3 linked regions of the Cricetulus griseus genome follow. The protein of the gene in region 3 interacts with the protein of the main gene of each other region in a biochemical or structural test. Links are inferred from orthologs where the notes say so. Each region holds a gene or a part of one and is shown on either strand. Other genes may lie near its edges.

Region 1 (8,161 bases), on a different chromosome or scaffold from region 3:
TCACAGTACAAAAGGAAATTAAATTGAAATTAGGCAGGCAGCCTCTTCCTTGTGGCCAGCCTTTAAGGTACTAGTAATGCCTTTAAGGTACTAGTAATGCTTAGTAGGGTGTTGGGGGAGAATTGTCATCCACATGCTTACTGGGCTGTGAATTGTTTGTGTAACAATACTGACTGACCAGGCAAGATGAGCCTACTGGTGCAACAGTGGCATTTCTGTTGTGAGAGTAACCAACTATCTGATTGGAATTTATGCCTGCTCCACAGGAGGGAATTCGTGCCTGATCCTGTAAACCCGGCCAACAGGACATGACTGGGGAGATTCTGGGCCCCCCTGGGAAAGCTACAGCTGGTGTTTTGTTAAACAGACCTGATGTAGCTATCAAATTGCCTGCTTAGTAACTGTTTATGGTGTTGTGTAGTGTTGTCAGCTTTGGTCAGAGAAGCTTCTTTCTGCAGTGGGCAGCAGTGACTGCATCATGACTGTGAGTGCCAAGCCATAAGCAATACATCTTGTGTTACCTCCTCCAAGGCTCAGAGAATGGCATGGAAGAATCTAAGATCCTGGGAAGGAGAGGGAGAGGATAGGATAGAGTTCCAAGTATGGCATGGCATGGCATGCCTGCTGGCACTCTTGAACTCCGAACTCTTGAATGGCTCTGTTATGCAGCCATGATTACCAACCTACATGAGACTGGGTCTGTTAATGCCCTGTCATGGAGGTGGGGAGGGGCCCTTGTATCTCTCTTCTTCCAAATTCATATGAAATTAACAGTTGAAAGGGGAGGGAGGGAGGGAGAGGCATGTTTTAAGGGTCGTAGCCACTGGTAAGGTGCCCATGTTGCTGTAAACAACCCTAATGAAACTCACTGTGTCACAAAAAAAAAAAAAAAAAACCGGGTGGGTGTGTGGTGGTGGTGTGGTGGTGGTGGTGGTGTGGTGGTGTATACCTTTAATCCCAGCACTTGAGGCAGAGGCAGGCAGATCTCTGAGTTCAAGACCAGCCTGGTCTACAAGAGCTAGTTCCAGGACAGCCTCCAAAGTCACAGAGAAACCCTGTCTTGAAAAACCAAAAAATTAAAAAAAAAAAAAAAAAGGCAAGAAAGTAGAAGGGGGTCTAGTTGGAAAAAGGAAGCCAGTAAAAAGGGGATTAAAATAAGGTAACTGAGGGTGAGTTTTGTTGAAAATATATATATATCTGAAAATGTCAAAATGAGACTGATTGTTATGTACCACTAATATGATAATAAAAAATTCATATAAAATTTATTGGCTAGATGGAATCAAGAAAATAAAATGTTTCATCTGTGGTATGGTTTAGTAGTTTCCTAAATTGTTGCCACTTGAAAGTATTTTTGTATATTAACATTTAGCTTAACTTAAAACAAAACAAAAAACCAAGAGCTCACTATGTAACCTTGGCTGTCCTGGAGCTTGGTCTGTAGACCAGGCTGGCCTCAGATAATCATCAGCCTGTGCCTCCCGAGCCCTGGGGTCAGAGGCACACACCACCTTACATTTTTAAAAATAGGTCTTATTCGGTGTTTCGTGTGTGTGTGTGTGGGGGGGCGAGAGCTACTGGAGTTCAGAGGACAACTTGTGGGAATAAGGTCTCCTTTAACCATGTGGATCTCAAGGATTGAATTCAAGTCCGGAGTGGTGGCAAGTGCTTTAATCACTAAGCCATCTCAAACAGCCCCCAAATTGACCTATTTTTAGAAAGTGGCATGATATTCCAAGTTTAAAATTTTCACTATCAGTGACTATGTTCTTGCCATTGTTAATTGTTTTGTATTATAATTATTCTTTAATAGTTTGTTATTGGGGCTGGGGAGATGACTCAGAGGCTAAAAAGCACTTGCTCTGTAAGCACAAATACCAGAGTTCAAACCTTCAGTCAGCACCCAAGTGAAAAGCCTGGTGTGGATTCAAGTACCGGTTGTTCCATAAGTGGGGTCACACCAGTAATCCTAACCCTATCCCCTCTCCTCGGAGGTGGAGGCTGGAGAATAATAATTTCAAGAACATCCTGAGCTATACACAGTGAATGTGATGCCAGCCTGGGACTCCAGCCTGAATTAAACATTAAATGTATTACGTGTCAAATGGTGACAGCCTAGGCCTAGGCTGGCCTAGAATTTATGCCTCACTTTCATCAGTTCGGGGACAGGCTGAGCCACCTTGTCTCGCTGGTGGCTACAGATTTTCTTAGGTTACAAAATAGAAACAGTATTATTATCAAACGCTGTTGTAACAACTTCTTTTAACTTTCTTTTCTCCCCTTGTGTTTATTTCTGCCCTTATTTGATATTTAAAGTTTCTATTCTAACCTTAACACTATTCATTTAATACAAAAAATGTTTCCAGGACCAGCTGGCTTAGCAGGTGAAGGTGGGGGCCGCCAAGCTTGATGACTTTTGAGTTTGATAGCTAGGACCCGCATGGTGGAAGAATTGACTCTGGCAAGTTGTCCTCTGACCTCTCCTGCGCACACGGACACTAAATGAGAAAGTATTAAAAAAAAAAAACCGAAACAAAACCCAAATAGGTTTCCTTATTGTTCGTGCAGCCCAGAGGTCAATTTAAGGGAGTTTTCTCCTTTCACCCTATGCGTTCTGAGCCTGGGGCACAGGTCCTCATTGTCGTCGGCCCTGATACTCTTTTCCTAAGAAACGTGGGCGGTTCCGACGAGACTTACAAAGAGAAGGAGTTTAAACGTTCCAAAGCAGGGTTTCGGAGCAAACCCAAGACTAGAAAAAAGTGAGGGCTACTTTGACGGACGGCTTCGGTGGCACGCCGACCTCCCACGTGTCTTCCAGGAAGCTGGAGGAAGTCGGGAGGCGACCGGGTAGAAAGGAGACCGTGTTGCTGGCAGGCTGGGGCGAGCGGGAGGGACGTTGCGCGGGGAGTCTGGGAACAAGCCTCGGCAGCGTGGGTGGGGGCGTCGGTCTCCAGCGCCGACGACGCCCACCCCGCAAGCGGCTTTGCACCCCGCGCCTCCGAGCGGCGGAGGAGGAAAAAACCGGGGAAGACCCCCCGGGAGAGCGACAGGTGGGCGCGTCGCCAACCCCGCGCCGCCGGGCTTCCGCGAGGCGCCTCCCTGGGTCCTGCGAGCCGCCGTAGCCCCGCCCCCCGGCGCGTGGCGCCCGTGACGTTGGGCGCGCGGGCCACCACTCTCCTTACTGAGGTCGCGCTCTTCCGAACGGTCGGGCCGAGTTGCGCACGCGCAGTCGGGAGGGGAAGTGAGGCGGTTTCCTCGGCGCCTTTTCCGGCGGCAGCGGCGGCGGCGGCAGAGCTGGGAGGAGGAGGAGGAGGTGCAGGCCGGAGGGAACCCGCGCTCGGGGCGGCGGCGGCGGCAGCTGGAGGTAACCCTCCCGGGCCGATCCCCGACCGGCGGGCCGCGTCGGCCTCCGCACCCACGGAGTCCCGGCGGTAACTCCCTTCTTCCCTTCTCTGTGTCCCTGCAGGCAGCACCGAGTTCCCGCGAGGATCCATGACCTGACGGGGCGCGGAGCCGCGCTCCTCGTCGGGTGACCCGGGTCGGTGGCGAGCCCGGTGCTCGCGGGCCGGCGGGAGGGCCGCGGTTGAGCCGCCGCGTGCCGAGGCGGCGGCGGAGCTGCTGTCGGCGGCGCCTGCGGGGGAAGGGCAGTTCCGGGCCGGCCGCGCCTCGCCTCGCCTCAGCAGGGCGGCGGCTCTCCCCGGCGCAGACGCAGGGCCCGGGCGGCGGGCGATGCCCGAGTGAGCGCAGGCCGGGCCCCTGCCCCTAGCAGGCAGCTTCGCGCAGGCCGCACGCAGGGCGTCCTCGCGCGGGGGCGGCTCCGTTTCGATCTCGCGGCGGTAGCAGCGGCGGCGGCGGCGGCAGCGGCGGCGGCGTTATAGGCTGAGGGGACCCGGGACACCTGAATGCCCCCGGCCCCGGCTCCTCCGACGCGATGGGGAAGGTGCTATCCAAGATCTTCGGGAACAAGGAAATGCGGATCCTCATGCTGGGTCTGGACGCAGCCGGCAAGACAACGATCCTGTACAAGTTGAAGCTGGGCCAGTCGGTGACCACCATTCCCACGGTGGGTTTCAACGTGGAGACGGTGACTTACAAAAACGTCAAGTTCAACGTGTGGGATGTGGGCGGCCAGGACAAGATCCGGCCGCTCTGGCGGCATTACTACACCGGGACCCAGGGTCTGATCTTCGTGGTGGACTGCGCCGACCGCGACCGCATCGACGAGGCCCGCCAGGAGCTGCACCGCATTATCAATGACCGGGAGATGAGGGACGCCATAATCCTCATCTTCGCCAACAAGCAGGACCTGCCCGATGCCATGAAACCCCATGAGATCCAGGAGAAACTGGGCCTGACCCGGATTCGGGACAGGAACTGGTATGTGCAGCCCTCCTGTGCCACCTCCGGGGACGGACTCTATGAGGGGCTCACATGGTTAACCTCTAACTACAAATCCTAATGAGCATCCTCCACCCATCCCCCGGAAGGAGAGAAATCAAAAACCCATTCATAGGATTATCGCCACCATCATCAACCTCTTTCAATTGCCACTTTCTTTTTTGAATCTGAACTCTGGAGTTACTGTTCTACGGTTTAGTGGGGTTGGGGTTTCCTCTTTTTCTTTTTCTTTATTTTTTTCTTTCTTTCTTTTTTTTTTTTTTTTTTGGCTTTGCGTTAGGATGCTCTGATCTGATATTTGACACGAAAACAGTGCTAGATGCTCTTGTGACTTCCAGCAAACGGGGTGGGGTAATAGCAGCTCTTGGTAAAATCCTTTATAATAATGGTTTGATTTTTTTATGTCGAGAGAATCTTTTTTTCCCCCCAATGTATGCTTTTTTCCTTTTTGCCCAGTTTCTTACCACTTGCTGTAGATGGCTTATTTTGCATTCATGCAGACTATGTTGCGAGTCTGTTTCATCTAGTAAACTGAAAATTATTGCTTAATCAAACTGCCGTTTGTCTTTTATATTTAAGGCCTTCCCCCTTTCCTTGTTAGTGCTAACTTTAGCAATTTCAAATGTGACCTTTTATATCCAAGACCAGTATGGTGAACTTAGCCCACAGTGGCAAAATAATGAGTAATACCAGTGTAATGTTCCAGTTGCACATCAGTGTGTGAAACAGGTAATGTAGGGAATCCCTTCAGGTGTCAGCTATTAAAGTGCATGAGTAGGAGTAAACTCAAGTTCCCTCACCATAGCTAACGTACGCTGCATAAAACAACTCACCTCTACAAGGGGGCAGATCTTTTAAACTGCAAAGTTAGTAACTTTGCTATTTCCCTCTCTTCTTCCTTTAAAAATAGACTCTTTCCAGAAAATGGAGCAATAATGGTGTACGCCACACAGATGAAATATTTGTAGATATTTTAAGTGACTTTCGGGCAAAATCGGCATATGTTACCTTGTTTCAAATCTCTTAAGACAAGTAGCTTTAAAATTACTAAACATTTACTTTGTTCACTAATAAAACATTTAAAAAGTCAAATTATATGCACCTTTTCCTAGCTGGAAAAAAAATACACATTCCTGTTTTCACATTACAGCAACTGATTAAACTGAAGATATATGACTTTTTTTTAAATAGATGAGTGATCTACATCTCCATTAATTAAAACACTGGAAAAGATGTTTTATTTAAAAAAAAGGTATTTAGTTTTGCTTGATTGTAGTATTAACTCATGCAAATAGATATCCTGTTGGTTCAGTCGTAGATCGTCTCCTTTAAGGAAGAAATGTGCTGAATGAGTGATGGAGACTGGAGGGGTGACACAGGGAGTAGGATGACGAGAAAGAACCTACAGATGACAATGAATGTAAATTTATTTTTCTTTAAGGGTAAGCATTGTGCTCTCTGGTGATATCCAGATCTTAACAAGATGAGCTGGTTAGGACCAGTTACTAGATTGAGACCACTATGGTGATAATTTTGAACCAAATGTTAATGTTGATTCAGAATTGTGAAGCAGCATCTGGTTCTTGTGTAGCCTTAAGGATTAATGTAGTGATCCTCAAGGAATGAAACTTAGGGAGTTTCGGAAATGTAGACTGCCAGGGCAGGATACAGGAAAAGGTGGAATGGTTCTGTTTATGAGGGTGTCTGAAAACTAAAGTCAAGCCGGATATCATGGTATCGTTGGACAGTATTGGTCCTTCATGTTTTGGCCATATTGTATAATGGAGCTTTTACCAAAGATGTATGAGAAACAGAAGGCTATACAAAAATGAGCTGTAAGTAAAACTAACTAAAAGCAGATGAGAAAAGGTGCTATGTTGTAGGCTCCTATTGGTGCAGAGGGATTTTGAAATCAAGACGCAACTAAAACCTAAAGTTCTCAGTTTCACATTAATAAAAATATCTCTAGAAATGAAGCTGATTCACATATTTAAGAACATTATAGTTGCTTTTAAAAATTCCCAAAGCTCCACCGTAAATGTAATTCTTAGTGTTTTAAATGATTACATTTTAAGGTACATAAATATGGTTATACAAATATCAATGCTACAGTAACATCCTGAAACAAAATAAGCACAAAGGTATAAATGCCTAAACTGGAGGAAACTTGAAACCCTCATGTTGATTCTTAAATGTAGTATTCTAACTTGTGACAGACAGATTGGTAGACAGCCATTTTTTTGTGTGTCTTAAAATAACTGGGGGCATAGTTAAAATTTTATACAAGTGATTGCTATTACTGAATGTTGCAGGTGAGATGGGTTATTTTTAGTTTATTTGAAATGTCTGAAAAGGGTGGGAGGGGGGAAACATTTGAAATTTGAAGAAAACCTAAACCTTTTGGAAAGAAACTGTAATTTTCACTTACATTTCTTTAAGAGTATATATAAAAGGTTTATAATTGATGTAGTTAAATTGAACCATAACCATTGGTGATTATGAAGCAGGAAATTAGAGCCTGCAGAAAAAGTTATAATGGAAGAATTACAAAAATAAGGTCCTAAAGATTTTGTTTAATTGCATCAATTTCTGTATTTGTGTGAATTTATAAACTTGCTAAGTTCTGAATGAGGTTAATCTTGTCTAATATAAGTAAATGAGTCTGTAGACTGTGATTCCCCCTTCCCCCAGCTAAAAAGTACAGTCCTTGGAATTGTTCTTTATGGTTGTAGTGTTGCTGAAGCACTAACATGCAGAAAATAAAGGAATTACACAGTGCAGTTTCTCACGTTATGTTACTTGGAGTAGATAAGTGGGATGTACTGGTATCTTGGGCTATGTTATTTTCCAGGATATATGGTAAAAAGTGAATTTGAGACTCATCTGACTTATAAAAGATAAAAAAGATTCTCCCCTAAATAGTGGCTATTTAAGGTGTTTTCTGTTTTAATTTTACCAATCCGTGTTCTGTGACAACTGAAGGTATTTAGGCCTCCCTTCCCCTTTGTAAAGACTAGGCAGGTGTTCCACCACATTGCTGGCTGGATCCTTGACTCTTTGCTGTAGTTTTCATTTTGAGATAGGGATTTAGTTGCTCAGGTGGACTTTGAACTTGTGATCCTTGCTCCATCCTAAAGTTGTTAGGGCTATAAGCCATCTCCACTGCAGGTGTCTATTTTTTCAAATTACAGTCTTAGCATTTTGAAAGTACAAAATTGTGTTTGTAAGGAATTGGCTTGCAGAGTTCTTTTTTAGTTGTCTTAATCTTTAATAGAGTTGGATTCAAAAATTCTTTGAGTTCAAAGTTGCTTGTTTGATTATAATTGTAGCCATGTGAAAGGCAAAATTGTGGATGAATAGCTTGAAATCATTTAAATATTCTTGTAAGCGTTCCCTACACTAGTCAAGTTTTTTTTTTTTTTTTTTTTTTTGTAGTTTGATTCTAATCTCATTGATGTGACATATAGTATGATTTAGATCATACATTAAGACTGGGTTTGTTAGTGCCTACCTGTAATCCCAGTACTTGAGAGATGGAGGTAGGAGGATCAGAAGTTTGAGATCAGCCTGGTCTATATGAGATCCTGTTATAACTAACTAGCTAATAAGACTCATTGATACTTCTAGTATATCTGTTACTGTGACTTACTGAGATGTCAAAGGTCAGTTTTTCAGTGGTAACAGTAGAAAATACTTTCTAATGGTTTGGAATACTTTAGACAGAAATTGAGCCACTGTATAGTTTGAATAGTAATATTTATCT
Region 2 (8,021 bases), on a different chromosome or scaffold from region 3:
AGTCAAAGTAGCCAACTGAGTCTTCAGCTGATGTAGTCTCTTGTCCATCTCACTCCCCGCAGATGGCCCATCCCCACTGCTACTACTAACGCCACTCTCTGACCCACTGGCCTCTTCGGACTTTAGAGGAAGTGGTCCACGGGCCATTCTGTCATCTTCGACCCCAAACTCACCCTTGATACTCGTAAGACTGGCTGCAGTATCCAAGCTAGTGGCAGTTCCGGTGCTATCCTCACTGTGAGTGGAGCAACGATCATCCACAGAGTCAGGGAGCGTGAGACCTGGAGGCTGCACACTTGCAAGGCCTACATCCGCCTCATGGGATACCGACAGCACTTTGATGCTGGCCTCCAGGGCCTCTTTCTCCTTCAGTAGACTTTTATAGGCCCGGACCACATCCTTGAGTCTAGCCTGGTACTGGAGGAGCTGCTTTTTCTGTGTCTCTATAGTCTCCAGCAGGTCCTTTTTGCTTGGGCCGCCCCCGAAATTCATTCCAAACTTCTCCATGGGGGTTCTGGAGCGGTTTGCTCCACCTCAGTGTTCTGGCAGCCGTGGACAGAGCCTCAAAAACATCTACAAGTGAAGTAGAGAGGACCGTCTGGCCGCAGGCCGCACACCCAGCTGTCCGGGCGGGTTGAGGGGCCGCGGTAGCCAGGCAAAAGCGCTGCCGAGCCGGACCCAAGGTGGAAGCCGGTTCCAACCTGGAGGCGGGGCAACGCTGGCCCAGCAGAAGCGCTCAGCCTCGGCTCTCCAACACTGGCCCAGAGGCCGCTCCACCCCAGCCGCTCCGCTGACCACCAAACCCAGGCCCGCCCACCTCCGCCCAGGATCGGCCCAGGGTTTACACTAAGCTCCGATCCATCTCGATTTCCTAACTCCGGCCGGCTGGCAGCACCGCTTCCGGATCCACTGGAAATGACGGCAGCAAAACGCCACAGACCCCGCCTCCAAGATGCGCGAGGTGGGCGGGGCTTCCGCAGCCAGGGTGCGCTGACAGCCTGGAGAGGGAGTAACCAGAGGGGATGGTTGGGAAAAGCCAAGTCCGGGACACCTGAGCAGTGATTTGGAGAAGATGCCTAACTTTGCCCCCAAACTACCACCAGCGAGCGACAGGGGGCGACGTCGCACTGCGTTTGCCCCAAAAATCCCGGGTTGGAAAGAAGCGTACAACTATTTGGGGCAATGTCCAATATATCCCTAAAAAGCAACAGGACTCATACTAGAAAAACAAGCCCAGCACCTGGCTAACATAAAGCAAAAATAGCCCGCTTCCTTAGTTCTGCTTTTAGATGGACACTAATATAGCTATAAGGTTTATCTTGAATATTGGTATATGGTAGGGGTCTCACAAGAGTTTTTGCTGTTTATTCTGTTCAGAGGATATCATAAACACCAATTTACAGTTGTGGAAGCATACACTGCACAGAGGTGACTTATCCAAAGCCATTCAGCTACTGCTAAGTTTAAGAATCCTACCTCGGTCCACTTCTCAAGGTATTAAGTGCCACGCCAGGCAGCACCCTGAAGAAACATGGTCTTGCTGCCAAGAAACTTGTCACAGCAAGGAACCAGACATGCAAACAAGTAGACCCTGCCCTCACACTGGAATGTGTGGGCATCGTCAAAGTGGTATAAAAGAGATGAAGATGCCTGTCTAGAAGGATGGGGATTCTCGGGGAGAACATTTTTGGGATTTGAAGAATGAGTAAAGACTGCCAAGCAAATTCAAACGTGGGAAACCAGTATCAAAGAAAGTGGAAAAGTTTACAAGAATCATTCCTAAACAGTAGCGTGGGGTGAGAGAGGCGCAGCTACTGATGAGGCTGGAACAGGTAGGACCCAACTTAAAGGCATTTCATCTCGGGCGTCGACACATTAAAAGATTTAATCTCAAGAGGACACCGTCGAGACTCTTGTGGGGCCTGTAAGATGGCTCAGCAGTAAAGGCACTTTCCACCAAGCCCCAACGACCTGACCAGAGTTCTATCAAGAGAACCCACATGGCCGAAGAAGAAAACACATCCCACAGGAGGTTGTCTTCTGACTTCTACACCACGCCCCCCCCACACACACACACACACACACGAGAAATAAAAGTGGGGAGGGGCTAAAAAGCAAGGCTCCTGTGACATTGTGAAGGCACCAAGGGGGCGGGAAGCCTGTGAGGAGACTCAGGCATAAAAAGAGACTAGTGAAATAGTAGTGACAACAGGGATGAAGAGAGTATTTCTGTTCTAAGAATCTTCTCGGGAGGCCAAGGCAGCCGCATCTCTGTGAGTTCGAGATTAGTCGGGTCTACACAGCAAGTCCCAGGCCACCCAAAGCTAGTGACGTAGTGGGCACAGTGTCTCCAAACAAAAGAGAATAAACTACTCTGAGAATTTTTTTAAAAGATTTATTTATTATGTATACACACATCAGAAGAGGCCACCAGATTTCATTATTGATGGCTGTGAGCCACCATGTGGTTGCTGGGAATTGAACTCAGGACCTCTGGAAGAAGAGCCAGTACTCCTAACCTCTGAGCCGTCTCTGCGGCCCCTACTCTGAGAATCTTTTAAAGCTATTTTTCGAACCTGTCAGGGCCTTCTTAGGAATTCAAGTCTATGACCGAAGAACATAGCAAAATCCCGCAGTGGTCCTAAGACCCAGGATTACTGCGCCCTTTCCAGCCTCGGCCAGGGAAAGGTAGCCAGGCCTCGCTAGACTTCAGTTCTTCCGCAAACGTGCTTGGGGGCGGGGCTGGGGCGGGCCCGGAGGGGCGTGGCCACGTGACGTCGGGCGGGCCCGGACGCGCGGAGGCGGTGGCGGCGGCGGCGCCTCCTCCTTCTGCTGTTGCGCCCCATCCCCCCGCGACCGGCCGGTTCCAGCCCTCACCCCGCGTCCCTGCCCGCGCCCCCGCCCCGGGCCCCACCATGGGCCTCACGGTGTCCGCGCTCTTTTCGCGGATCTTCGGGAAGAAGCAGATGCGGATCCTCATGGGTGAGGCAGATCGAGCGCGCGGCCCGGATGGGGCGCCGGCCCCGCCGCAACCCTCCCGCCCCCGCGTCCCTCCAGCCCCGCTCACCTGGTACCCTGACCCCGAGACACCCCACCGCCCGAGCCTCTGGGGCTGCGCTCGGGTGCAGGCCGGGATCTGCGGTGTCCGCCCCGGGCCTGGAACCCGGAGCTGGGGCCTGGGTGGGGTGACGCTTCCTCCGCCCCAGCCCGGCTGCTAAGCAGGGAGGATTCCGCCCTTGGAAACGACTTTTCAAAGGAACGCGGCCTTCCTCCCGGGCCCCCCACCTCTCCTGCCCCTCTCGCCCCTCGGCCGCTTGGGCGGCAGGAGTTGGCACTCGCCACCCAGACTGCCCTCAAGGCCCGGAAGGTGGAGAACGGCTCGCACCTGGAGGCTCTCCCGCTCTCCGCCCCCATCACCATCAGCTGGCCAGTCCTCTCCCTGTCCCTGGTCTCTAGGGGGCTCCCTCGCTCCCGTCTCCATTCTGTGCCCCTCTCCGTTGCAGTTGGCTTGGATGCGGCTGGCAAGACTACCATCCTGTACAAACTGAAATTGGGGGAGATTGTCACCACCATTCCCACCATAGGTGAGCCCGGGAACGAATGTCGCCTCGGGCCTTCTCGGGGTCTGCTCCTGGTGCTGCTGAGGCCCTTATCTGTTCCTGACCCTGACACCAGATACAGCTACTTGAGAAGTGGGTCACGGTATCTCTGCGTGCCTGCTGGTGCCTGAGGCGTGGACCATGAGCCTAGCATATCTGTTGACCTCCGGTCCTTCTGGATTCTATTCCCATTGGCCTTGGTCATTGCCCCCTGAGTTTGTGTGCCTGTAGAGATCCGAGTGGGGTTTTTTTGTTTGTTTGTTTCTTGTTTTCTTGTTTTTGTTTGTTTGTTTTCAAGACAGGGTCTCTCTCTGTAGCCTTGGCTGTCATGGAATTCTCAGTAGACCAGGCTGGCCTCGAACTCACAATCCACCTGCCTCTGCCTCCTGAGTGCTGGGATTAAAGGTGTGCCACCACTGCTGAGCTGATCCAAGTGGTTTTAGTGAGTTCCTTTCAGGACTTTTTTTCTCTCTCTCTCTCTCTCCAAAAACATTGTCTGCAGGCTTCAATGTGGAAACAGTGGAATATAAGAACATCTGTTTCACAGTCTGGGATGTTGGAGGCCAGGACAAGATTCGACCTCTGTGGAGGCACTACTTCCAGAACACTCAGGTGGGGTGGGGACCGAGGGTAGAGGGACAACCCCAGGGAGAGGGTGGGACGGGCCTGGAATGAAGTATTGGCTGAGTCCTGGGCCCTCATCCCTCTCCCCTTAAGAACTCCTCCTTAAGAACTCACCCTCATCTTATTCTGGGAGGCAGGGTTCTGGGCTATGCTGCCTCCTCTAGCTCTCAAACAGAACATCTTTTTGTTTGTCCCCTCTGTCTTTGGGGCACAGATCCTTAATAGAAATGTACTGGATGAGAAAGGCTCATACCACTAAAGATGGGAGAAATGAGAAGAAGCCACATTGGGGCTGGGCGTAGGTGGGCGTGATCTCTCCTGCTTCCTTTCTTCCTTCCCACTCAGGGCCTCATCTTCGTGGTAGACAGTAATGACCGAGAGCGGGTCCAGGAGTCTGCTGATGAACTGCAGAAGATGGTGAGTGTCCAGATCAGAGAACTGAGCTTGGTGACAAACAGTTCTCTGAGGTGGTATGGAAGTCCAGTACTCTGTGGGTGGGGAATAGGAGATTTTTGTGGCACTGGATGAGTTGCACCTCACCCAGTTTGGCAGGACTTTTTCATTTAAATCCCTTTCTGTCTGAGTCTAAGCAGTTGGGGAGAGGAAGAGGGGTTATCTGTGGTAAAGAGAAACAACCTCTCATGTTTCTTGTTTTTCTTTGTTTTTTAATGTTCTGCATTTTGTTTGAAGGCTTTCTGGAGGTAAAATTTAGGGGTAAAATTTAGGGGCTTTGCGCTCATTTATAACTGCCTTCTATTCAGCAATAAGCTGCATAGTACTCTGTGTAGGGAACCCTGCTACAACATAGTCAGCAGGGGGCCCAGGGTCTTTGCAGCCATAGTTCCACCCTGTCTTCTCCCGTCTCAGCTGCAGGAGGATGAGCTTCGGGATGCCGTGCTGCTGGTGTTTGCCAACAAGCAGGACATGCCCAATGCCATGCCTGTGAGCGAGCTGACTGACAAGCTGGGGCTTCAGCACTTGCGTAGCCGCACGGTAAGGATCTTGTCCCCTTTGCACTGGGTCTGGTCTTTCTCAGGATCCCCAGGCTAGACCAAGGTAGAAAGGTACTCCTTGTCTTCCCTGATGCTGATCTACCTCTCTTTCTTCCTACAGTGGTATGTCCAGGCCACATGTGCTACCCAAGGCACGGGCCTGTATGATGGGCTGGACTGGCTGTCCCATGAGCTGTCAAAGCGTTAGCCAGCCAGGGGCAGGCCCCTGCTGCCCGGAAGCTCCCGCGTGCATCCCGGGATGACCAGACTCCCGGACTCCTCAGGCAGTGCCCTTCCTTCCCACTCCTCCTCCCCACAGACAGGCCTCTGCTCCTGCTCCTGCCTGCATGTTCTCTTGTCGTGGGAGCCTGGAGCCTCGCTCTCTGGGCACAGAGGGCTCTGCTCTCCTGCCTGCTGGGACCTGTGGATGGGCTTCCTGGCCAAGGCCCCCTCTTCCAGGGGAGGAGCAGGGATCTGGATTTAATTTCATTTTTTTTTTTTTCTGTTCTGGGTGTACCCTTGGGGCCACGTTTGGGGGGAGGAAAGTGAGGGCTCCGGGTGGTGCTATGACGTGGAACTGGATATTGAGTAATAAATTTGCTGTGGTTTGTACCCGGTGTTGTCTGTAGCCTGGAAGTTGGAAAGCTGAGTTACTGTGGGTACAAAAAGACAATATGGGAGAGGCTTAAAGCCCCTGAAGTTGTGAAGTCAACACATGTAAGCTTCTCCCTGTAGTGTTTCCAGGGGAGGAAATCAACTTCATCCTCCATTCTGAGGACGGTTATTTAGGAGTGTGAGTCCACCTCATTCCACAAACCACAGAGCCTACTATTTCCTGTCTCTTACCCAGCTGTGTAGCAGTTCTTCATGGTAGCTTTGTACACGGGGAAGAAATGGACATTAAAAAGATTAGTCCCAAGACACTCTTAAGAAAAATGATCGATCTGGTCTGAAGCCTTCCCCAACAACATACATGTTTAAAATTACCCAAATGATTCCAGCACTGGGCAGCATCTATTAGCCTTTCTTTACGGAACACCAGTGGAGCCTTTGCTGGGGACCACTGGGACGCTATACCTGGGAAGACCCCATCTATGCAGAATCAGGAAGGACATGTAAATGCCATGGCTCTGGGCTAGTCTCCAAGCAAAGTTGATTGCCTTTTTCCCTGTGGATCCCAACGAAGCTTAAACAAGACCTGTTGTCCCACTGTTTCTTTTTATGTACCTCTTTCCATATTTGCGGTTTGTCTAGGCTCTAAGCTGAGGTTTTCTCCTTGAGCTTTGCCGGAAGTGATCCAGCAGAGCCCTTTGGGAGTGGGGCTGGTATCTTTTCAGGCAGAACTGGCTTTTTGCCCAGTGGGTTCACCTGTACCACAGCCAGGGTTGGTGAAGCACAGTGCTGGAGTTCCCTCCACCTAAGTCATTCTTTCTGAGCCTTTGAAGTTATGAGAGTAATTTCATCCTCAATGGTTATGTATCCATTTCCCTCACCTTCATTGCAAAGTAGTTTCCAAAACATTTTGACCTTGTCTTCTCAAGGTCCGTAAAGACTTGAACTTGAACTTAAAAAAAAAAAAAAAAAAAAAAAAGAAAAGGAAGGGAGGGAGGGAGGGAGGGAGGGAGGGAGGGAGGGAGGGAGGGAGGGAGGGAGAAAACTTGGGCTATGGAGAACCTAGCAGAACCCTCTTGTTGGGAAGCAAGTAGGTTGATTCCTATCTTGTTAATAAGAAAGGGAAGGATGGGCCCAAAGTCACAGGTTGCAGTATTGATGCCCAGGTTAGTCCTACCTCATTGCTTGGAGTTGGTCGGGAAGACATGCCAAAAGCTCTGGACCCACTTCCCTTGGCCCATGGATTGATGCTACTAGGACAGTGCCCTTTCCCCACTGTGGTGGGATAAGAGGCAACCTTTTCAGTCACAATGCTCCCGGGTCACAGAGGTGCTGGGCCCTAGGCCAGACCTCTGCCTGGGAAGTTTCCTCTAGGAACGGCTTCTGGTGGGTACTACGGGCCTTATTCCCGGCCATATGGCCTGTGGGACCTTACCACTGGGGGGAAGCCTGGGCCGGACAGAGTCATCACCTGTGGCACTGGCCCCATGGCTGAGGTGGACTGGATACACAGACATCCTAAAGCCGAGGACCTAAGGGTTGGGCTCATCAGCTGGGCAGGAACCTACCTCACCTTTGAAGCATATAAGAGTACAATCACAGCTGCTGCAAAGAGTTTGGGCAGGAGACAGGTAACAAGGCGAACCTGGACTAGAACCAATTTTCTGAGTGGCAGAGGTCATGTGTGTGTGTGTGTGTGTGTGTGTGTGTGTGTGTGTGTGTGTGTGTGTGTGTGTTGTATTCCCGTCCTAATTGCTGGCTGCTGGCATAGTCTCTGTGAAGACACTTCTACTCCAGACTTTTGTTCATGGATCTTCATTGCTCCACCTTTCACAATAGTTTCTGTAAGATGAAGTGTCAGTGCTGACCTGCTGTTTCGCCTTCAGGGTTTCCTACCCTCCATCCTAGTACAGTGTGGTTGTGTCATCACAAAGAGGAGAGGCGGGGAGTCCAGGCTGGAAGGCAGAATCAGGCATCCAGAGGAAGCTGGACCCATGTTTCTGATCTGGAGAATATAATGTAATATTTTAAAATGCTTGCTGACTTGGTCTCTGCTTTAGAGAGAAAATAGGAGCAATGTCTTCTCCCTTACAACCAGATTGAGCACAGTGAACCTAAAAAATTGTATCTCAACATCTATACCTAGAGCCAGGATGCTTTCTTGAACTTCTATTGGAGAAGTGGACCCTGAAGG
Region 3 (7,528 bases):
CCCAAATCCCATGTAAATGCTAGGCATGAGGACACACAGTTGTAATCCCAGAATTAGAGAGGTAGAAACAAGAGAACCCTTGGGCTTTGCTGGCCAGCCAGTGTAGCCTAATCGGGCTTCAAAGGAAGTGGACAGTGTTCCTGAGGATGACACCACATGCATTGACAACACACACGTGCTCATGCACTTGCATACACACACCGAGATTTTAAAATTTTTAAAACAAGGTGTTGGAGAGATGGCCTAGCAGCTAAGAGGATCCACGCTTGTTTCCCAGCACTCACACGGCAGCTTGCACCTCTCTGTAAATCCAGTTCCAGGGAATCCACCGCCTCGTCTGGCCTCCACAGACACTGCACACATGTGGTGCACAGACATACATGAAGGCAAAACACCCAGATAAAATAAAAATAAAACAAATCTTTCAAAAATTAAACAATAAATAAATCATGTGGGGAGGGGCTCAGTAGTGGAGCATGTGCTGTATGAGGCTGAGTTCCAGACAGACCCTCAAAGTTGGAGGGCGTCGCTGCACCCAGAGCCTTGAGGCCGCTTTTCTGGTTTGTTTTTTGTTTTGTTTTGTTTTGTTTTTTCAGAACAGGCTTTCTCTGTGTAACTTTGGCTATCCTAGAACTCACTTTGTAGACCAGGCTGGAGTCAAACTCACAGAGATCCACCTGCCTCTGCCTCCTGAGTGCTGGGATTAAAGGCTACAGGTCAGTTTTCTGAAGCACTTGGTACTCTTTGTGGAACTGACCCAGGGTCCATGTGCAGCCAGTTCATAGAATGGGAGCCTCTGATGACTCTGTTTCTGAGAACCTGCCCCAGGGAAAACATTCCAGCCGTGGCATTGGCCCTGTGTTGAGGCTCTTGCTCCCCTCATTTATCCTTCAGTAACTGTGGGAGGCAGACACTTTCTCTGTTTTCCAGATGAGAAAATGGAGTTAGTGCAGCTTACATGGTTGTCCAGGGCCTCAGAGGACAGCAGGGCTGTGGGGCTGAGGACAGAGCTCTGTCCTGGAGGAACAGGTAAGGAAGATCTTGTGCAGGGGCATGGCCTCTGCAGACCTCAGCATTTTCAAGCTGCTTAACCAAAAAGCAAATTGAACAGGAAGGCAAGTGGCATGATCTCCTCACATGGGCAAGGTGAAATGTGGCAGAGTTGCTGTCTGCATAGAGCAAAAGAAAAGAGGGGGGTTTTGAGAAAGAAATAAAGGTCATTTCAAATTCTTTAAAAAAAAAAAAAAGAAAAGAAAAGAGGCAGGAATGTGGTGAGTTCCAAGGGAGCCTGGACCACAGTGACATAAAAAACAAGGGGAGGGGGGCCAGAAATGAAAAGAAACCAAGGGGATGGAGATGTGGCATTTGCTCCTCTTGCAGAGGACTTGAGTTCAGTTTCTAGCACCTGCGTAGCAGCTCACAACTCTACAACTCCAGCTCCTCATGGGCATAAACTCACACGTGGCACACTTACATACATGGAAGCAAAACACACATGCACATAAACTAAAAATAAATCTTTTAGAAAGAACTGATAAGGAGCCATGTCTGGGGTCGTGTAATCCCAGCACTTAGGAGGTGGAGGCGAGGGGATCAGGAGCCCTTGGAGATGTGTTCTGAATGTGGCTGACCTTCCTAGGAAGGAGCCTGTGCTGCTGTTCTTTGTATTCCCTGGATGTCTCCATGTGGCTGTCAGGTTTCTGTGCTGAGCATTGACTTTCAGTCTTTAACTCTGAGAAGTGTGTGTGTGTGTGTGTGTGTACAGATTGAGGCAGTTGGTTTTTTCCTACCCTGTGGTTTCTGGGACTCAAACTCAGGTAGTTAGACTTGATGGCAAGCACCTCTACATGCCAGGCCATCTTGCCAGCCCTTCAGAGAATCCTAAAGCTCTGTCTACAGTCTCGTCTCTTCATTCTGGTCATGGTAGATATAGTCGAACTTTTTCTTCATTTTCATAATCTCTAATGTTACCACTTTGTCCCTTACTAGAGTCAGCTGAGGGTTGTGTATATCCTGAGTTATTTTGTTGTTGTTGTTATTTTGAGACAGGGTTTTTTTGTGTAGTCCTGGCTGTCCTGGAACTTGCTCTGTAGGCCCCACTGGCCTAAAACTCGGAGATCTGCCTGTCTCTGGGATTAAAGGTGTGTACCTCCGCACCTGGCTTTAAGAGTTGTTTTTAAATATGTTCTTCCCATAGTTTGCCACTCTTAGTTCCTCACAGCACCAGACATAAGGCTTTCCAAACTGTAGATGCCTGTATGACGTGTTTGTTCATTGTGCTACCAGACTCCTGTGCTGTCTGGTGCTCTTAACTGGTCTTCATTCTTGTACAACAAAGAGGAGCTAAGGTGTACATGCTGGGGCTATGGCTTTTTCACAGCTGTGGGTGAGGCTGGCAGTACTTCTCTCAGGGATTACCCCTGACTGTCCCCAGTTTGTAAGAGGCCAGAGTCTCAAGCCTTATCAGGGATCTTCTGTAAGTGATCCTGGAGGGAACTAGGTGCACAATGAATCCTTTTCTCTAGGTGCAGCTCCACCACAGCCTTTGGGGTCCACATGTACCAAGCAGCTGGTCTTGCCCCTCAAGTGTCACCACATCTAACTGTGCTGCCAATGAAGTCTGTACTTGTGTTAGCAGCGTGGACTTGCTGTCACAGTTGCTTTCTACACACTGCTGCAGCCCTCAGACCCCAACACTTTCTGGCTCTTTCTTCAGGCCTTACTTATCTGAGTTTGTAGTGGTCTCACTGGGACAGCTTTCATATACTTTACAGATATACACTTCTCCCCTTTTCCCTTAGAGCCAATGCCCTGGAAGAGCAACTGAAGGAGCAGGAGCTCAGAGCCCAAGAGAGGGTCCTGGAAGAAACCAGGAAGCAGAAGGAGCTCCTGTGTAAGATGGAACGTGAGAAGAGCATTGAGATCGAGAACCTGCAGGCCAGGTAAGCAAAGCTCTGGAGCAGGCAGCAGAAATCTGTCAGCCTGGAAGATAGAAGGAGAAGCTTCATAACAGAAAAGGGGCACTCACATGAAAAGATGCCTAAAACTTCTTATTTATTTGTTTTTTGAGACAGGGTTTCTCTGTGTAGCAGCCCTAGCTGTCCTGGAACTACCTCTGTAGACCAGGCTGGCCTCGAACTCACAGAGACCCTCCTGCCTCTGCCTCCTGAATGCTAAGATTAAAGGCATGCACCACCACTGCCTTGCCAAAACTTCTTTTTTTAATTTTTAGATTACATTAATTCATTATGTGTTTGTGTGTACACATGTACAAGTGTGGAAGTCAATAGGACAACTTGTAGGAACTGGTTCTCCCCTACCATGTGGGTTTTGGGCATTAAATTCAGGTTCAGTTGAACATAAGGCCAGCCTGGGAAACAGAGACTTCATCCCCCCAACCCATCCCCAAAATATCAACTTTTATTTTAAGAGAATTTGGCAGAATTAATTTTGTGTTCACTTGGAACTGACACCATGGGTGTTTGGTACATTAACAGTCATAATCCAGGAGAAACTGATAACGGAAATATCCATATACACTTACACACTGATGGAACTGTGCCAAAGGGACACTGGAGCCAACTGAAAGAGCTTCCAGTGACCAGAGCTGCGAATGGCAATGGTAACAATCCCATGGGAGGATAGACAGGGTGTAAATGAGACGGGCAGGAGTCCTCAGCCACACTGTCAGCCTGTAGATAGAAGACAAGAGTCTTGCTCTCATAGAAATACAAATAGTGTCTGCATACTCCCCTCCAGGAGCTTGTGTGGGGTCCCTCTCTGGAGGTATAAACTAAGGGACCAGCAGAGATACCTACCTAGTAGACACAGCTTAACCAAGTGACCCATGATGGTAGTGGGAGTGTGACAAGGACCTCACTATGCCAAAAATTTCCCTAAGCACCCCTGCCATACACACAAGTCTATAAACACCAAAAACTAGTCTGAGGCACATTTTGCAGAATATATGTCCAAGATTACCGCAGTATGACAGTCTGGGAGGCACACAGACCAGAAAATATAAAAGACATAAGGATAATGTGTGAAGACCTAAGGTTTGGTGGAATGTGTGCATTGATTAATAGTGTGATCCGGCTGAGCACAGGTTGTGATGTGGCACAGTGACAAGCAGGAAAACCAAAACAGACACTCTGCACTTTCTAGAGTTTTTAAAGTCATCATGGCCAGTGCAAGGTAACACATACCTGTACTCCTAGCATTTAAGAGGTAGAAGCTAGAGGATCAGGAATTCAGGATCATCCATGTCTACACAGGAAAGTTGAGACCAACTTGGGTTTCATAATACTCTATCTCAAAAGACAAAAAACAGACAACAAAAAAGCTGGGTAGTGAGGTAAAGACTGGCCATGCAGTTGGGATTATTGTGGGTCACAAAACAGTTCCCAGGGTGTGAGTATTCCTCTAGAGCTAGGCCTTCCTTGTCCTTTGGAGACACATTTTAGGCGGAACATGCCCTAACCTGTTCTTGTGTCCCAGGTTGCAGCAGCTGGATGAGGAGAACAGTGAGCTGCGGTCCTGCACACCTTGTCTGAAAGCCAACATTGAGCGCCTGGAAGAGGTGAGCTCCTGGCCTGGTACTTGTGGGAAAGGCCCTGCCTGGAATGAAGACTGTCCTCAACCCTCTGCCTGACAAATCAGTATGGTCTTCTGGGGGGCAAGGGTGGGGCAGATTGGTAACTCTGTCATGAACTGAAAGTGGGAACTGTAATGTCTGTCAGTGGACTGGGAGTTAGGCTGTATATACCGGTAAACTGGTGCCATTAGTACCTGTCCACACTGGTGTCTGTTTTTGCAGGAGAAGCAGAAGATGCTGGATGAGATTGAAGAGTTGACACAGCGTCTCAGTGAAGAACAGGAGAATAAGAGGAAGATGGGGGACAAGCTGAGCCATGAGCGGCACCAATTCCAGAGAGACAAAGAAGCAACTCAGGAGGTGAGCAGGGCCATTTGTCCCTCCCCATGTTCTCATATTGTCGAATGCTGCCTGTTCCCTGACAGAGGCCAGGAAACCCTTTTGTTTTCTAATACTCTGGTATGCAGCAGCCTCTTAGAACACAGGTCAGCACCTTCCCAGGAGAGGGTGGTCAAGCCAACTAACAGGAGCCCACCTTGTGGTTGCCTCACAGCTGATCGAGGACCTCCGCAAGCAGCTAGAACATCTGCAGCTCCTCAGACTTGAGGTGGAGCAACGACGAGGCCGCAGCAGCAGCCTGGGCCTGCAGGAGTACAACAGCCGTGCGCGGGAGAGTGAGCTTGAGCAGGAGGTCCGCAGGCTCAAACAGGTGTGTTCTGCCTTTCCACCTACCCTCACAGAGGCTCATGAGAGGGGGCAGCAAGATGAGGTCCTTCCTGGCAGCTCCTTGTCCCAGCAAGGGGCATAGCCCAGTGTAACACTGCCATGTCCCCTAGGACAACCGCAACCTGAAGGAGCAAAATGATGAGCTAAATGGACAGATCATCACCCTCAGCATCCAGGGTGCCAAGAGCCTCTTCTCCACGTCCTTCTCTGAGTCACTGGCTGCAGAGATCAGCTCTGTCTCCCGAGATGAGGTAGCTTGTCCTGCCTTTGTATACCCCTAGGTGTCTGTCTGTTCTGCACAGGTCCCTTCCTTTCACTGTATACTGACCCTTTGCTTTTCTGCAGCTCATGGAAGCAATCCAAAAGCAGGAGGAGATCAATTTCCGCCTGCAGGACTACATTGACAGGATTATTGTGGCCATCCTGGAGACCAACCCATCCATCCTAGAGGTCAAGTAGGACATCTTAGCCCAGTTTGGGCTGGTTATAGACTCCACAGCGCACCAGAGTGACTGAGCCAAGACCTGCAGGTCCTCCAGTTTACCAAACCTAGAGTATACGGGGCCTCATGCAACTGGACTGGGAGAGTAAAGATAAGGGCTGCAGTAAAGAGTAAAGAACAGTAAAGAGGAAGAAAGGGAAGTCGACAGCAGACAAGGAATGAGGCTGGGCTCCTTGAATGTCAGGAAGCCAGGGCCTCCCACCGTAAGCTGGCCTAGCCAGCAACATCCATGTCTGCTCAGCAGAATGAAAATGTGTAGGGATAGTCTCTCAAGCTGGGAGGGGCCCCTCAATGACTCTCTGACAAACCCCTCTTCCTGCTATGCAGCCTGTTAGGAAGAGAGGGAGAAAATGAATCCTCACCTCAGTTGCTGCCTCTCACTCATGTTGACATGGTGCCACCCAAGCTTGGCCATTCCCACATGGTATGCAAGCTGAGGACCCACAAGTTGGACATAGACATGGTAGTTCTGGAAAGACAGGCAGGTAAAGATGGCATATGTGGGATCTGGTCCGGAGCCACAGGCTACCTGTTCTCCTTGCGCTGCTCAAGCCTTCTCCCACCAGATGGGCTTCCATTCACCTTTGGACCTAGGGCCTCCAAGCCACACAGCCATTCTTTGTCCAGACTCTCACACAGTAACTCGTCAGCTCTGGTCCTCTTGTGGGGGCTAGGGCAGCTAGTTCATGCTGACTATGGAACTCACTTCCTGGACTGGTCAACACCCAGGTGCAGGTGCTGCTTCTCCTCAGGTGTGGCCTACCCTGGCTCCTGGACCTACGCCCTCCTCAGGCTGACTTTACTGCCTTGGGAAAAGTTGACATTTCCCAGACAATAGTCTAGGCCTCTGAAACAAAATTTCCTTCTCTGCTTTTGACTTTAAGTCCCTGGGTGTGCCCCAGGAGTCATTTTGCTGGTGAGTAGGTAGGTGGACAAGGCTCTACACAGACCTAGAGGCAGAGGAAGGAAGGCTTGCTGCTTGCCCCTGCACCACTCTCACAGAGTGCAGCATCCATGGGCCTGAGCCTGAGCACTAGCCCGGGAATCTGGGCACACTGAGTGAGACCACACCATAGGCTGTGTGTGTGTGTGTGTGTGTGTGTATGTGTGTGTGTGTGTGCATGCATGAGTGTGCACACAAGTATGAATGTATGTATGCTTGTGCCCACACATGCTGCCCTGCATCCCTTCACTGCCTATCCCCCGCCCTTGCGTACCTTCTACACTACGGTTTAAGATGTTGCCTCGTATTGTACATTTTGGGGAAAGCCTTGTGTGTAAATCAGTGTAAACTTGGAGGAGAGATTTTTCTATCATGTAGAGTAGGTATTTTTTATAGATTGAAGGTTGATCAATTTTTTAATACTTTCCAGAGAGAAAACTATCTGTGTATACATATGAAATATATATATATATATATATGTATAATATATCAATACTGGAGCCCTGCCTTTCTGTGCCCAGGTCCAAGTCCTGTATAAGGCTTGTGGCCTGTCTCTGCTGTCTGCCCTGCAGTGTTCACTGTAAACACGGGTCTCCAGGAGACACTGGGAAACACACCAATCACCAACTTGCTCACAGCATCTGCTTCAGCTCCCTGAGAAATAGCTATTTCTCCAGGGCATGGAAGGATGGGAGGCCAGCAGGATCCTGTCCCATGTGTCAGCCACAACAGATTAAAGCTGTTACCGCACACAGAGGCCGGC

The links.
Region 1: the proteins of Rab11fip3 (region 3) and Arf6 form a complex in vitro, tested with the Homo sapiens proteins (2 studies listed by BioGRID). The link is inferred for Cricetulus griseus from reciprocal best matches to the Homo sapiens genes RAB11FIP3 and ARF6.
Region 2: the proteins of Rab11fip3 (region 3) and Arf5 form a complex in vitro, tested with the Homo sapiens proteins (2 studies listed by BioGRID). The link is inferred for Cricetulus griseus from reciprocal best matches to the Homo sapiens genes RAB11FIP3 and ARF5.

The regions. Positions count from the first base shown.
Region 1 is NC_048598.1:133,996,071-134,004,231, reverse strand, and holds Arf6 (ADP-ribosylation factor 6), read left to right. Parts: upstream 1-3,751; 5' UTR 3,752-3,931; coding exon 3,932-4,459; 3' UTR 4,460-7,178; downstream 7,179-8,161. UniProt on the Homo sapiens protein: GTP-binding protein involved in protein trafficking that regulates endocytic recycling and cytoskeleton remodeling. GTP-bound form plays an important role in the transport of multiple palmitoylated proteins form the Golgi to the plasma membrane.
Region 2 is NW_023276806.1:199,365,421-199,373,441, reverse strand, and holds Arf5 (ADP-ribosylation factor 5), read left to right. Parts: upstream 1-2,817; 5' UTR 2,818-2,915; coding exon 2,916-2,982; intron 2,983-3,503; coding exon 3,504-3,584; intron 3,585-4,101; coding exon 4,102-4,211; intron 4,212-4,568; coding exon 4,569-4,640; intron 4,641-5,090; coding exon 5,091-5,216; intron 5,217-5,336; coding exon 5,337-5,423; 3' UTR 5,424-5,832; downstream 5,833-8,021. Other genes in the region: Gcc1 (GRIP and coiled-coil domain-containing protein 1), read right to left, coding at 1-507; Fscn3 (fascin-3), read left to right, coding at 7,315-7,458.
Region 3 is NC_048600.1:45,608,960-45,616,487, reverse strand, and holds the end of Rab11fip3 (rab11 family-interacting protein 3), read left to right. Parts: intron 1-2,801; coding exon 2,802-2,942; intron 2,943-4,497; coding exon 4,498-4,579; intron 4,580-4,816; coding exon 4,817-4,954; intron 4,955-5,147; coding exon 5,148-5,303; intron 5,304-5,430; coding exon 5,431-5,571; intron 5,572-5,665; coding exon 5,666-5,779; 3' UTR 5,780-7,521; downstream 7,522-7,528. UniProt on the Homo sapiens protein: Downstream effector molecule for Rab11 GTPase which is involved in endocytic trafficking, cytokinesis and intracellular ciliogenesis by participating in membrane delivery. Recruited by Rab11 to endosomes where it links Rab11 to dynein motor complex.